2 linked regions of the Lepisosteus oculatus genome follow. The protein of the gene in region 1 purifies or fractionates together with the protein of each later gene. This does not show direct contact. Links are inferred from orthologs where the notes say so. Each region holds a gene or a part of one and is shown on either strand. Other genes may lie near its edges.

The links.
Region 2: the proteins of mak (region 1) and katnip purify together in Homo sapiens (affinity purification with mass spectrometry; 3 studies listed by BioGRID and IntAct, with this or other methods). This does not show direct contact. The link is inferred for Lepisosteus oculatus from reciprocal best matches to the Homo sapiens genes MAK and KATNIP.

The regions. Positions count from the first base shown.
Region 1 is NC_090701.1:4,028,486-4,036,065, reverse strand, and holds the start of mak (serine/threonine-protein kinase MAK), read left to right. Parts: upstream 1-4,477; 5' UTR 4,478-4,642; intron 4,643-7,580. UniProt on the Homo sapiens protein: Essential for the regulation of ciliary length and required for the long-term survival of photoreceptors. Phosphorylates FZR1 in a cell cycle-dependent manner. Plays a role in the transcriptional coactivation of AR.
Region 2 is NC_090714.1:16,335,429-16,342,405, forward strand, and holds the start of katnip (katanin-interacting protein), read right to left. Parts: upstream 3,110-6,977; 5' UTR 2,454-3,109; coding exon 2,447-2,453; intron 2,428-2,446; exon of another isoform or gene 2,132-2,427; intron 1,958-2,131; coding exon 1,914-1,957; intron 697-1,913; coding exon 605-696; intron 124-604; coding exon 1-123. Other genes in the region: dcun1d3 (DCN1-like protein 3), read right to left, coding at 6,741-6,977. UniProt on the Homo sapiens protein: May influence the stability of microtubules (MT), possibly through interaction with the MT-severing katanin complex.

The DNA.
Region 1 (7,580 bases):
GTGCGAGTGTGCTTGTGTCTGCCTGTGTCCTTTGATGGACTGGCGTCCAATCCAGGGTGTAGCCCACCTTGCATGCGTTGCTTGCTGGGATAGGTTGCAGTCCCTCCACAACCCTGATTTGGAAGACGCCATTAGAAACTGGATGGACGGATAATCTTAATATAGGTATGTTGTTTCTTCTATAAGATGACTAAGCAGTACTGTATCTTACTAAAGTTTTCCATGAAACCACAGGAATGAATAAGAAAGTTAATATGGGCAGGTAAAATGCTATAATTTAATAGAGTCAAAAGAGTCATAAGAAATGTTTAGTTTAACTTCTGTTACTCCATTTCCTGACATTTAATCTCTTTTATGTTGAAAGGCTTCAGATGAAAGATCATATGACACATGGGTTGTATTGTTCAGAGCAGTGCAGTTAAAACAGATCTGGAAAACACTGTGCCTCCTCAAAGCTTATTACTGGAGCAAACACTGTGGAAGCAGAAGATCATTGCACCATGTATTACTGTCCATCAACAAGGCAATACAAATCATTCCCTGAGTTATTTCAAGTAGGAATTGTTAGTCAGGCAGTCAAACATATGAAAAGAAAGTGTAAATCGTTTTAACCAATTGTTGTTCAAAAATATTTAATTTTACGAACTGCTAAAACTATACCATAAGAAATGTATCAAAACACAAAATCGAGCATCTGATTACTGTACATGTCGTTGCTGAGCTGTCTGAATCCAGGGTTCATGATATTGTCTGTAACGTGTTCCCTAGTACAGTGTCCTAGAGCACAGCTCTGAATTGCTGAGAAGCAGTCTAGCCTTTCTAAGAGTGGAATGAGTGGATTTTTATGAATGGCAATAGACTGCAGATATATAGCAACATGAAAGATTATTTGGAAACAAAGACGGGCTATTGATTTTCAGGCAACCTAAATAGTAAATATTATGGTTCTAGATACTTAATGAAAACATAAACATTCTGACTGAAGTCATAGCCAGCACCGATCGTCCCCAGGCAGTTAATGACGTTTTTCATTTGAGCTGTCCCTTTGCTGTTCTTTTGATTGACCTTGAAAAAATGCTTTCCCCCAACACAAATTGCACATCGTTAATAAACTAGGACATCTTTTAGTATTCACTGTATAAAAACAATTAGACAGTTTGTTTTTAAATAGCACTCTATAAATGTTGCAGCTCGTATGTTCGGTTACCATATAAGAATGCTTTTCACTGTATTATTGTGCTTGCAACTTGTGAAACAAGACAGACTTTTGATGGGGCTTTTCATGTTGTTGGGGACTACAGGAAATATCCTACATATAAATAATTCAGAAACACCAAAACAGTGTGACGGTAGCTGGAGGAAGTTAAATTAAGGATAATGGGATGTTAAGTCCCAACTGGAAAATGCCAGTTAGAATGCTTCCTGGGAAAGGTTTGTGGGTTTATCTCTCAGGTCCAGTTTAGACTTTACTAAGCATATTTTTCAATGAATCACATTTTGTAAACAAGAGCTTAGATGCAGAATGAGTTCAAAAACAGCACTTCATGCTGACTACGGCTTGTTCTTAAAGTGCTTACCTTTCTTTTCTTAATCAGCAGCTTTCCCACAACCATCGGAAAAACCTGTTTTCATTTCAAATGCAATGAGCTGCTCATAGCTGTAAAACAATTTTTTTAAGCTACCGGTTTTAAAAGAGGTCAGTAATTCTTGTACATTCTAAAATAAATGACTGTCTTTTTTAGAGGATTAGAAGGTTTCCTAACAATAATCATTTGCTAGATTACGCGGATGGATAGGGTTACATGAAAACAGTTAAGAAAGTCTCGGACAACACAGCCAGCAGTTCTGACTCCCTGGAAGTGCTGACGTGATCCAATTGTCTGCTCTTTCTTTTGATGATCACCTTCAGATAAAGAGCTACTGAACTGTACCGCATTATCAGGCAAAGGCATTGCCAAGGCTGTAGGGTTTCAAAGGCAAACCCAAGACTTTCATTGGAAAATTACTGCTGAGGCACATTGACAATAAGCAGCCTCTGCATAGCTATGCCCTGGATTTCCAGTGTTTACTATTCCAGTGTTCCAGTAGGCTGCAGCATGCAGTTTACTGTGGCTGAGTTTTTGGAAACATCATTTTGCCAATGATCATCATGTTCCCCCGGGCCCCTCTTTAAAGTGGCATCACTCAGTGTTGCAGAAAGGGGCTCGTGAGGATAGGTCACCACGTGGCAGTTGAAGAGGAACCTGGCTGCTCATCACCTACGCCGAGCCGCACAACTTCAAACCTCATTTACAACACGCTAACTGACAGCTAATGAAAACACTGTCAGACGGCCTGTGCAAACAATACAGGAGGCAACGAGAGTGCTTGGCTGGCAGACAATAGCTGTTTGGCAACCGGTAGGGCCAGGCTCGCTTGACTTCTCGAACAGATCAGGCTCGAGCTTGTTTCCCCGCAACGTTTCATCAATCTTAATCACGGCTGCAACTTGCAAGGACAGTTAGGTTTTGAAACTCAATCCCCTCTCTGGAAAAAAAAAAAAAAAAAAAGAGAGGCGCTAGGTTAGACTTTGCTCTGATCTGCTTTCATTCCCTAAAAGATTTTTATTACTGTTGTGGTTGTTAGTATTGGCTGAAATTCTGCTGGCATCTTCCCCGAGGGCAGTGTTTTTATTTTGTGCTTGGGCAAAGCATTTGAGCTGAAGGTTAAAGGGAAATGTGGGAGATAAAAGTGGTATTTGGGAGATAAAACTAAGATTGTAACGGGCAGAGCAAACGGAGAGCTGTGAGAGAGCAACACCTTTCCCGAATGAGCCACGAGACAAATGCATCACTCCCTATTCCTCTCATTCACAAATCCTGACCACATACAGCCAAGTCTACTCCACTCCCCCACCTCACCTATTAAATAATCCCGACAACATACAGTCAAATATACCCCTCTCCCCACCTCACTCATTCACCAGTCCCCACCCTACACATCTGGAGCAACAATTTTGCCAGCCCTGACTCAAAAAAAAATGCTATACAAATAACGGTGAAACAGCCGAAACGTAAGTCTCGCACAAGATGTTTTCAGATAAGATGGCTGAGGTGCGATTACCTTCAACAGAGGTTTCTTTAGGGATGGGCTTGTGTGCAGGAATGTTTATTATATGTCGATTTACAGCAGCGTTGCCATCTTCTGACCTGATTTTGTCAGATTTCTAAAGCTAAGCAAGTCTGGGCCTGGTCAATAGTTGGAGAGCAGACGTATACGGAAACCCGGGTTACTGCTACAGTGGTGTGGGCCTGGTTGACCAATAGATGGGGCTCTTCCCTCTCAACCACAATTTCCAACCCAACAATGCTGCAGTGTGAACTGGGGACACCATGCTTTTGGAGGTACAGATGAGGCTTTAAGTTGAGGTCCTCACTATGTGGTCATTACAGATCCCATGGCACAGCTCATAAGAGTAAGGATGCTAACCCTGGTGTCCTAGCTAAAGCCCACTCTGAGCTTGCACAGCCTGGCCCCTTGAATCAGCTCCAGCAGTTTCTGACTTCTTCACATGACCTGCTGTGCAGTGCGGTTTCAGCAGTGGATGAACTGGGTCACCTCCTTTATTATAAACCCACTTGTGATCCTTTAGCATGAACAGTTCTACGTGAAACCAATTATAATTATATAATAACATTAAACACATTGTGTATTATATGAAAATGGATGACCTTTACTCGTCTTAATTTCATACCAAAATATAAAATGCTTAGACTGCTGACAGAATTAGAAAGTATAAGTACTCTATAGATACACTAGTATGCCTTTGTATGAACCATACAGACATTGCAGAGGCTGTGTTTATCTGCTTTTTAGGTATGTTCCATTTGCTCATGCATGTGAAGTTCTGAGCTATTGCTAATGTAGTTGCTCCCTCTGCTGGTAATATATTTCCACAAGTATGGGAAATCTCCCCCAATAAGAACACTCAGTGACTATTTCATTATGTACGCAGAAGAAATCCACAGGTTCCTTCTCTCTAACGATGACCTAATGCACAATGGGCCAATAATAGTTAAAGGAACAAGTCATTGGTTTATTCCATGCTGAAAAGAGAAGAAAGAAAACACAACGTTTCGGCCGTGGAGCCTTCTTCAGGTGTGATGGTTTCCGAAAAACTAACCATGAAATTACGTTAAAACCGTCATATGGTTTGACTATTTTTACAGTTCGCTCTGTGCATATTCTCTCGGCGGAAAAGCACCACCTCGTTGATAATCATATCGGCTTTCAGCGTTTTCAGAACGCCCAAATCATATTCAGAGTGTGTATAGTGTCACATATACACTGCCATCTTCATCCTTCAATGAATAAGAGATCTAATCATTTTCACTTGTACAGCATCATCCATGCAGCAGCAGGTTAGCATACGCATACACACACACACACCAACGCCTTCCGGGTCACTTCGCCTGCAGTGACCTCAAATCCCACAAGGCACCGCGCCAGCCCTGACCCCAGGCGCTCGTGTGTGCGGAGTCCCCCGTTGCCAAGGAGAAGGCAGTGTCACAGACAGGCACGGGGCGAGGAGCAGCCGCGCGATCACAACAAACGTCGCCGCTGCCTGGCTGCACAGGCACTGGGAGCCAGAACCGGGCGCACGGTGAGTCCGAAAGAGCAGGAAAGGCAAAATATGTGCAGCCGTTTACCCTTTATACATTAAAGGATCTACTTAGAAGGATTGGGCAGGCTGCCAGCCGTTGCATTGCAACTCTTTTCCTTAGCCTGCTTTCACCTGTAATGTGGTATAGTGTAGCTGCTGGGCATCTCTGTTCAGACAGCCCGTGTTATTATAAAATATACTCTCTCTCTATATATATAATTATATATTCTTACTGTGTTCAGTGCCTGTGTTGGGTGTGTTCAGTGCCTTCCTGTCTGGCATATGTTCGGTGTATTACTGTGTTCAGTGTCTGACGTGTGTCTCATTGTTTCGTAGATATCTGGGGCTCCATTCATAGCTGTGTTGTCTCACCCATCCTTTCAGGGCTGAAACACGCCTTTTGAAGTTGTGTCCCAGCGTCTCTGCTTCACAAATTCATACTAGCTCATACAGTCTAGGATGGCAGGTTGGGTAGCAGAAACTGGTTAACTAATGTGAGAGGTTTTATTTTATTCTAAATGTACAATTAAACGTAAACAACACTGAGAATGTGACAGTTTTTATTTTCCAGTGTGAAGTGCAGCCTTCAGCTTCATTGCAGCCTGTTTTGCTTCTGTTGTGATTTTCGCGATCACTTGTCAATAATAGAAGCCAAGAGGTTTTCTTTTAAAAAAACAAAACAAACATTTTTAATTCCATTTCTTAATTCAATTACTGTCTTGAACGAATGAACGACTGACCCACGAAGACTATCAAGACTAGGAGACACTGGGACAAGCACCTTTGCAGCATGAAACGTACACTGGCCCACTTACAGAATTCGCTATATGATTGCAGTGACCTTGGGATTCTCTAGGTAGATTCTCTATGTACGTCATTAGCCTCTCTGCTCATCCTTAATTCTAATTCTTCTTAAATCCTGTCCCGGCAGATTGCGTTTCACAAAAGCTTAGTGCACTGCTAGGAAGCAATCTGTTCGTGGTCACACTCACTGTGTAGCAATGCGGACAGGCCCTGTCTCTGTGCCCATTTGTCTGTGTGCGTGGTTTTGTGCCCTGTGCGCTTGATAATTCTGTGTGGGGTGTTCTTCACCCTACTGTAGAAGTTGTTACTTCTGTATGTAACTTTTATTTGTCTCAGGAACTTTTCCTTTTCAGGGTCAATGCTGTTGACATTCACCTGTCTGCAGTACGCTGTGGTGGTATACTCTTCAAAGAAACTCCTCAAATGAGCAACAGATTGATCTTCACCTTTAAAAAGCAGCTTTCTTAGAAGGATATGCACCAAGCATGCCTACTTTCAGATGATGATAGGATAACTCTAGTTATCCACAGGAACCTTTCCATGCAAATGTCAAGATACATGCCTGAACATGCTATTAAGATTTTTTTTTGGTATTTTGCATGAATGTACAGTAGAACATGCTGCGAACAGGGTTTTTTTCTGTTTTGCTGGCACTAATGCTAATGAGGATCAGATGGTAAAAGAACAATAATCCAGATTAAAATACCTGCTGGCTGTGTTCTTTCAGGGTTTTTGCAGTCTGAGCTAATGTACATTAAACTCTCATGTTAGAATTTATGTCACTAATTCCTTGTAAGGGTCTTGCCGTTTCTAAGGATGCTTAATTTCACATAACGTACCCTGCAAGAGTATTCTCTCCCCTGCAATGATGTCCCAATTCATAAAATTACAAATGATGTCTAATCCTTTTTTAAAGTGAACATTTATAATCAAAACTTGGATGGTCAAACTGAACACACACACAAGGATTAAGGGCCCAGTTAATGCCCTGACTTGAATCCAACAGAATCCAATCTGTGGCAAGACTTGAAAATTATTGTCCATCAACCTACTTGACAGAGCTTGAGTGAGTTTGCAAAGGAGAACTGGCAACAGCTACACCATCCCAGCGTGCAGTGTTAATAGACTAATCCTAACAGAGTTGTAATTGCTACCAAAGGAGCTTTTAGCAACTATTGAGGGAGGAGGGAAGTACTTACTGTATGTTATCAACATTTTCTAGTTTTTGATTTTTCCTTGCAGTATTTGCTGTCACTTCTTAATGATCGACTTTACCTCGCTCATTGTCTTTGAATCGATTTTAATCCCCTTCTCCTAAGAACGTTATCCATGAGTGGTTTTGAAAACTCCATATTTTCATCAGTTGTAATTCAACAAAATGTGATGTCATGAGAAGGGAGTGAATACTTTTGTAAGGCACTGTATGTAAGGATTTAAAAATATCTGTTGACTGTATATTTACAGGCTTTTGTTCACCTCACAATGGTATTATTATACCGTGAATAATGTTAATTTTCGCTTTGATAATATCATATTGGATTTTTTCACAATGTTCAATGTTTACCGTTTATTAATTTAAAAGTTACTCACAAGTAACTCACCTTGGATAGAAGCGTTAGCAAAATGCAATGATAATGTCTTTAAAAGTCAGCCTACTGCACATCTGCTAAGTGAAATTACATCAGAAGTACCACATGATATGCCTACTTCATCATAATGTTTTAGTCCACAATTAATGCAAAATGCAGCGCCAGCTCAAACTCAATTAGTTGACTTTTGAAATCCATTTCTGTGTAAAGGAGATATTAAAAACAAGTGCCCTTAAATAATTACCAAGCAGGATTCTCTTTCCAGCAAACCTAACCGTTGAAGACTGTATCTCTCAGTGGAAGCTTAGCGAGGGCAGCTGTAACATGACAAACCCAATAGTTTTTTCTCACTCAGCCTTGGATTTTAGTTTTTCTACCTATAAATGAAGGACTACCGACTTTGTACTTTTTCATGTTAACGTCTCTCTGTCTGTCATAAAGCAGATATCGGTAACATTTCTCAAATCTTGATTTCTTTCTGAAGAGTGAATTCTTCCAGTTCCATTTTATATTGTGTCACTTAGTTCTTTCCACAACTATTTTGT
Region 2 (6,977 bases), on another chromosome or scaffold:
GCCGGGTTCTTCGGCTGCCCCGTCGGTCTGGAATTGGCGCCGTTCACATAAATGGAGAATCCCTGCTCCAAGCGCTCCAGCGCGATCTCCCTGGAGTTCTTGGCCTTCAGGCGCTTCAGGATCCTGGCGGGCAGGAACACAGCACTGCTGAGCAGGAGCAAACCTGCTGGTCACAGACGGGACTCTTGCTTTCCCCACAGGGCTGCAGTCGGCTGGACTGGAGTGGCGGGTGAAAGGGACAACCCAGCGCTACAGATTCAGGCCCACAAAGGGAAATCACATGCTGCCGCACGAATTCTCAGTGTGCTTTACACTGCACTGTAGGAGAGATTTCAGCTCAGGTTTTTCCAAAATCTTAAAATGAACATAAAGTCTCATGAGTATGTCTGAAATGTTATTCCGTAAAGTTGAAAACATTTGTTCGAGTAGACAACGGCGGCTTTCTTCTGGGGTTGTCCCAGACACCCCACATTTTGTGTGCGAGCCTGGCTCTCCGAGGTGTCACCTCAGCCAGCTGGGGGTGTATTTGACAAGCGGCCGCCCTCTGACTCTGTAACAGTAGACTGGGTGGCAAAAGAGTCACAGCACAACCGTCACGCCTCACCTGTTCCTGTGTTGAAGAGCGATTAAATATTCATCGTGTTTTTCTTCAATATCCGAGGCAGCGTGCTTCCCCGCTTCGATTCCATGCCAGCTCTTCACAAACACATCGAATGAAAGCAAAACAGTGCTGATTACTGCATGGCTCGGCCTTTCCTACACACATTTTCAAAAGCAAGAACGTGCCATCGCAGGACACACAACAGGGGAATCAGGCAAGCTCGGCGCATGGCAGGGAACGTAAGTACTGGGTAAAATGCAAAAGTTCTCCAAGAAGCATATTCTTAGAAACTGACAATCAGAAAAGAACAGATAAACTGCTCTCCATTTGAGTCTGCTGGAGCGTGTTTGAATATTGAAAAGCGGTGTATTTGGAAAAATTCCAGCAGCCAGTTTTACGCATTTTATGCGGACTTCACTGTTGTACGTGGAAAACCTGCAGGACAGGAAGATACTGCTTTCAACCGCCAGGAGAGTCATGCAAACACCCTGCAGTCTCGACCAGCAGAGGACTGAACTGCTGACCTCACAGATGAGAAACAAGGGGAATGCTACACCTGGCAGAAGGGACAATACTCTCTGACGCTGAGCAGGAGCTCAATGGCTAGAATGTGCAATTTAATGCCACGGAACTGTTGAAGAATGTGTTCAAATTTACACTGAAGCAACCGTTTTGCTTAGTGGGGTATAAAGCACACGTATGGGGTGAAGCAAGACCTTCTAAACAAATGAAAAAGACGGCAAATATTTCCCCCCCTCGGAGCTTAGCCCAGCTCAGCCCAGGAAAGGACCAGAACATCACACAGGACAAACAGGAGAAGAGAGACCCCCTTACTCAATCCCTGACAGGCAACTACAGCATCTGCAAGACAGAGGAGCAGGGAAGGAGAGAGGAGAGGGAACATGAAGAGAGGCACATCAGATAGCACGCAGCAGAAAACAGAGCAAGCAAGAAAAATGACAAGACAGCCAGACACGTAGTATTCATGCGTGTGTCACCAGCAGAGACCACCCTCTCCCCGGCTGTACATCCTGGAGCCCATACTTGGGCCTAGCTCGCTGGACCAGTGTCCAGTCGGAGGACAGTCATTCCACGCCACCATACCCTTCTCCGACGAGATGCGACCCCAGCTATAATTTGTGATCGACTGAAATCAATACCCCGTGCGCAGCGATAAGCATCAGTAGTCGCATAATCGACCCCCCCATCGCCACCCCCCATTATTTTAACAGCGCTGCTATTTGAGTGGAGCAAGCCCACCTCGACTCACGCTGAAGTATTCGCTGTCAAAAAAAAACACACAAGAAATTACCTCTTCCATCTCCGCCGGGCTGGCGCCGCCCCTGTCGAATTTGCCTGGATTCGTTTAAAACATCAGACAGAGAAAGAAACATTTTTAAACGCATGACTCTGTAAGTGACCAGACAAGAAAAAAAAATCAACATGTAAAACGCAATCTGCGGGTCTGCAAGGCGTCGGTGTTGCCGCCCTCTCCCTCTGCGGCCCCGCCCGGGCGGACGGACACCTCACCCGCAGTGAAAGACAACTCCACCCCGCGGCTACAGCCAGGGCCTACACCAATCTGTGTAGCGACAACGAAAACTGTAGTCTAAGGAAACAAACTACTTTAACACATAGAGCCGTGTGGACGATTAAGACGGAAGTGAACTTTAAAATACAGTTTTTGACCTGCGTTTTTGTTTCTTTAAAACGTTAGCTACACATAGCTTATAAACACACCACACACGCTCAGGTGTCTGCATTCGTGCTCGGATCGCATTTCTCGCAGAAACGAGAAAGATCGAGCAGAAATCGGCGTGTCCAAATGTAAAAGATCAAACTTACAGTCCATGTCATCGCCTTGACGAGGTGATAACAGACTCCAAGTGTGTTTTCAATGGGGACGCGTTCACAGCCCCGTCCGCGTTGTCATGCTGGTAACCAAGAGAGCCGCTAGCCAATCGCCACTCCGCCCCGCCCCCTGGCAATGGCGCGCTGACCAATGAGTCTGCAGGGAGACCCGGGATTCGCCACGCCCCCTTGGTGAAGACCGCTGGCTGACGTCACTGAGATGGGACCCACAACACTTCACCTTTACAGCAAATTATAAGGCCATGTGCGCTGGCAGGGAATTAAAAATCAGCAGCAGTATTTTAAATCTGGAGCCGACGGTGGATCGGGCTCTGTCTTAATTACTTTTGAAGGTTATGTGTTCAAATTCGGATCTTCACTTCCCAGCTGCATGTTGGAAACATGCAGAATCCAATTAAGAAAACAAAACTTTGCTTGCCGTTTCAATACTGGCCGCCAGAGGGCAGTACAGACAGTACATTAACTTCCGTTACAGTGTGTGTTGACATGTTACTCTTGAAGTTATCCTTTGCTTCAGCTGTTTTCCATAGGCATGTCACAGGTGATGGTCCAACTTGGCACCTGGACCCTTGGCCATTAATAATCCATAATTATTTAAGTGGTCCTCAGCTCCTGGGTTAATTGAGCAATTAAGGTCTTGGAAAGTTTAATGTCCTATAATGGCATAAAATTTAAATCCAAGATCCTTCTACTGCGTAAACCACAACACTGGGGTGCCAACACTGGTCCTGGGGAGCCCCACACCAGCAGGTTTTGTAGGTCACTGTTAAATCACCCATTTCCAATTTCCCTTGAACAATGACACAGATTTATTCCAGTGCCCATGTATACCAAGCAGAGTTTGGGATGCTTTACAGAGCAAAAACAAAAACACAAAAAAGAGGAAAAGAAGTATTATAAAAAGAACTAAAGAAAGATAAGAGATGAAAAAACATCTATCAATTCTAAAGTGATCAATTAAACAGGTGATTTGTAATAGAGATAATTCAATACTAAAATCTAAGAACTCACTAATCCTCAAGTACTAGATTTCCTGAGTCATCAATAACCCACAGGTGTGGTGAATCTTTAAAATCAGGTGCCCTAGGAGGAGGAGGAACCGGATTGGGGGCTCCCCTCGATCAGATCTCTTCTCCAGAGGATGACCCCCCCGAATATCGGCAACTGCGCAGCACAACAGGGGCTGTTGAACACCAAGCCTACTTGCAGAAAAACAGACCAGACAGCTCAAGAACAGGTGGCCATTCAGAGCATTTAGCTCATTTGCTTGCTAGATAGTTGATTGATCCTAGAATCTCCTCCAGTGAGTCTTGTGAAAAACGGATATTTCTAGAATATTTATACTCAAGATAAAAAAAAACTCAAAATAGATTTATTACATTACCATGTACTAAAAAAAGAATTTCCACTAAGACTGTATGTCTTTAAGTGGACAGCTCTGGTCATTTTACTGTTGGAAAGCATTTTTACTGCACTTTTAAGTTATTTAACAGCATGAGACTTAATGAAAATTATACAACTGTGGAAGCTGTTTTTAGATCCTATTTTAAAGGCTTATCATATGATGGCACACGTGAAACTGACAGATCTGTGTTGCCTTTTTTTGTTGGCAATTTTGTGCAAAACAACATGCGTTGAAGCTGAGGGTATCAGCACTGACATCCTCTTACAGTTTGTCAAAATACCAATCCATTTACTCTCACGATAATCCAGGAATTTGTCTTGCATGATCTAGGGATACCAGGAAACAGAATTTGTGGGGTTACATAACATCCAAAAGCAGAATAAAGAGGCTTTAAGGTGGTCCCACCTCTCCTGTGCTTCGTCCCTCAGCAGCTAGTGTCCCTGCCCTTCACCAAAGCCAGCCTCCTTGGGCTACACTGATGGCATTTCAGTTTTTGATACTGGCTAATTTATTTTTCTGCAAATACACTCTTACAAACGCTGTGCAAGTCAAGGGGAAAGTACCGTAGAGCCTCTGAAGCCTCCTTCGGTGTTTAATGAAGCTGCTGAGAGGACCTGTACCGATTCTTCAGCGCTGTGCAGGAGCAAATGGAAACAAACCGTTAGTCAAGGTTACACCCATCCAGGTTATCAAAGCGGATTGGAGAACTCTTCATTTAAACCTTGGTTTATTACTTGACATCTAACAAACATGACCTAACCTCCCAGTTCAGCCATTTTCACACTCTTCCACCCAAACGCAAGGACACGGTGTCACCGGGTGTGCTGAACTGGAGCGCTCACCTGGACTAGCGCCAGTGACGTGTACCGCGGCGCTTGTTCCCCTTCATTTCTCAGAAGGAAGAAAAACAACCTCCTGCAGGTGTGTCCCCGCGGCCCGCTCAACCGGCACCAGACAGCTGCAGCGCAGGAGATGGGCAGGCGCAGCAGTAAACAAGTGTGGGGCTCACACACCTGCCCTGATCTCTCCAGAGTGCCACAGCCACTCATTCCAGGAGTGCACACTGTGCTGTTAATGACTGCTGCAAATGGGCATTGGCCTCCAGATGATTTAAAACCAAACTGCACTCGCCTTCTGACAGCCGCCCCCCTATATATAGGCCATCCCTCTCCGGTGCGGATGTGTTTTTCTGTTGGCTTGCTGCCCTCCGGTCTGTCAGTTGTCACGTGCCGAAGCACCGCGGCGTTCCTGCTGTGCGCTGGGTAATTCCCCACCGAGCGCTCCCCTGGGGCCCTGGAGCTGAGCACCGCTGAACACACGCAGGCTCCCCGGGGGACCATACGGAGCGAGGGGCCTCTGTTCGCAGCCCCCTTCGCTGGTTCTTCCTGTGCGGCCACACGTGAGGGACGTGCAGGGGAGAGTGACCACCCCTCCAAGCTGCCCACCCGGACTGTCCAGGCGCACTCTGCAGGCAGCTAGGACAACGGGCTCCCCCCCGCTGGCAAGGGGCGCCCCCACACTGACCGTACCGCCACCCTGCAGGCCAGGGAAGTCGGGGCACCAACACAGCTCTGGCCAAGTGTACTTGCAGCAGTGCTGGCTGGGCCCATCCTCTCAGTGCACTTGGGTTCTCCTGGCTGTTCAGGAGGTGCTGAAGAGGGCCAGCTGGCCATGAAGATCACACACGGTCCGTACAGTGGGCACGAGTACTGGTACTGTGTGTACAGTACAGTCATCTCATGAAAACACAGGCAGTCAGCCATCACCCCTCCGCACTTGCTGAACACCCGCTCACCCCCAGCACACTGCGGCCGGGCTGTCCTTGTGAACCACTTCCTCACACTGGGTCCCCACAAGCTCAGAGGAGCCCAGATATCACCACCCCGCGGCACAAGGTCCAGCACTCAGCTTGGCCCGATCCGGACAAAAAAAGGGACATGCATCCCTAGAACAACCGTCCCGCCACGAGGGCGGTGCCCAGCCTGAAGCCCACTCCCCGGGATTTGCCAGGAAGTCTGGGGACCCCCCTTCCCAGCTCACAGCACGGCAGGTTTAAAAAAAACACGGGGGGCGTGGACAGGCCCGGTGGCGTTTCAGGGTCCAGTTTTTAATTATGCAAGGAACGGCTTTTAAATGATTAACACTGTTTTATTTTTTTTTAATATAAACCACTGCATTTTTTTTTATATTAAAAAAAAAAAGAAACAAAACCCAAAAAACAGAAGACGGGAGCCGCTGTGGCGGGTTGTAAACGGCACTATACCACCAGGTACAGGACTGCCCCCCCCCGCCCCCCCGAAAACACACGAGCTCTGGCACTGTAGTGACCGGAATACCAAACCCTTTCCAGAACGGACACAGGAGGAACAGGACGGGCGAGAGCGGAGGGGAGCCAGGAGGCTGGGCGGTCCGTTGGTCAGTCTGGGCCGGCGAGAGGGGTCTGAGTGACCCGGGAGGGAGAGACGGAGGAGCCAGTGTGGGGGTGGGGGGGGGGATTGGGGGCTGGGGGCGGCGCGTGTCCGATTTTTTTTTTTTAAAACCAAACCCATTAAAAAAAAGAAATTAAATTAATTTTTTAAAAAAAGTGCCTGGGGGGAAAAAAACCATACAGTATTTTTGGAGCCCTTTCGAAAAACACAAGGCATACGCAGGTGCTGGAGAGATTAAAACCCCACCCCTGTCCCTCGAAAATAAAAGAGAGGAAAAAAAAAACAATCATAATAATAATAATAATAATAATAATAATAATAATAACAACAACAACAATAATAATAATAGGAACAATAACGTTAATCTTCATCGGAGTTTTCAGAGATCCAGAGTTTACTAGGCCCCTCTCCCCTCTCCTGCAGGCGGACGGGCTCAGTCGGCGCCCCCCCCCTCGCTCCCCCTGTCCAGCTGCTCCAGCGCCGCTGCGCTCCTCCTCTCCTCCTTCCTCCTCCTCTCCATCTCCCACTCCACGAAGGTGTCGAAGAGGCTGGGCCAGGCCTCGTCCTCGCTGTAGTTGCCGAGGTCGGGCCCGATCACCTGAGTAAAGTTGAGGAACATGTTCCACGTGTCCCGGGAGATGCCCTTCACGCCCGACGGGTTCTCCGTCAG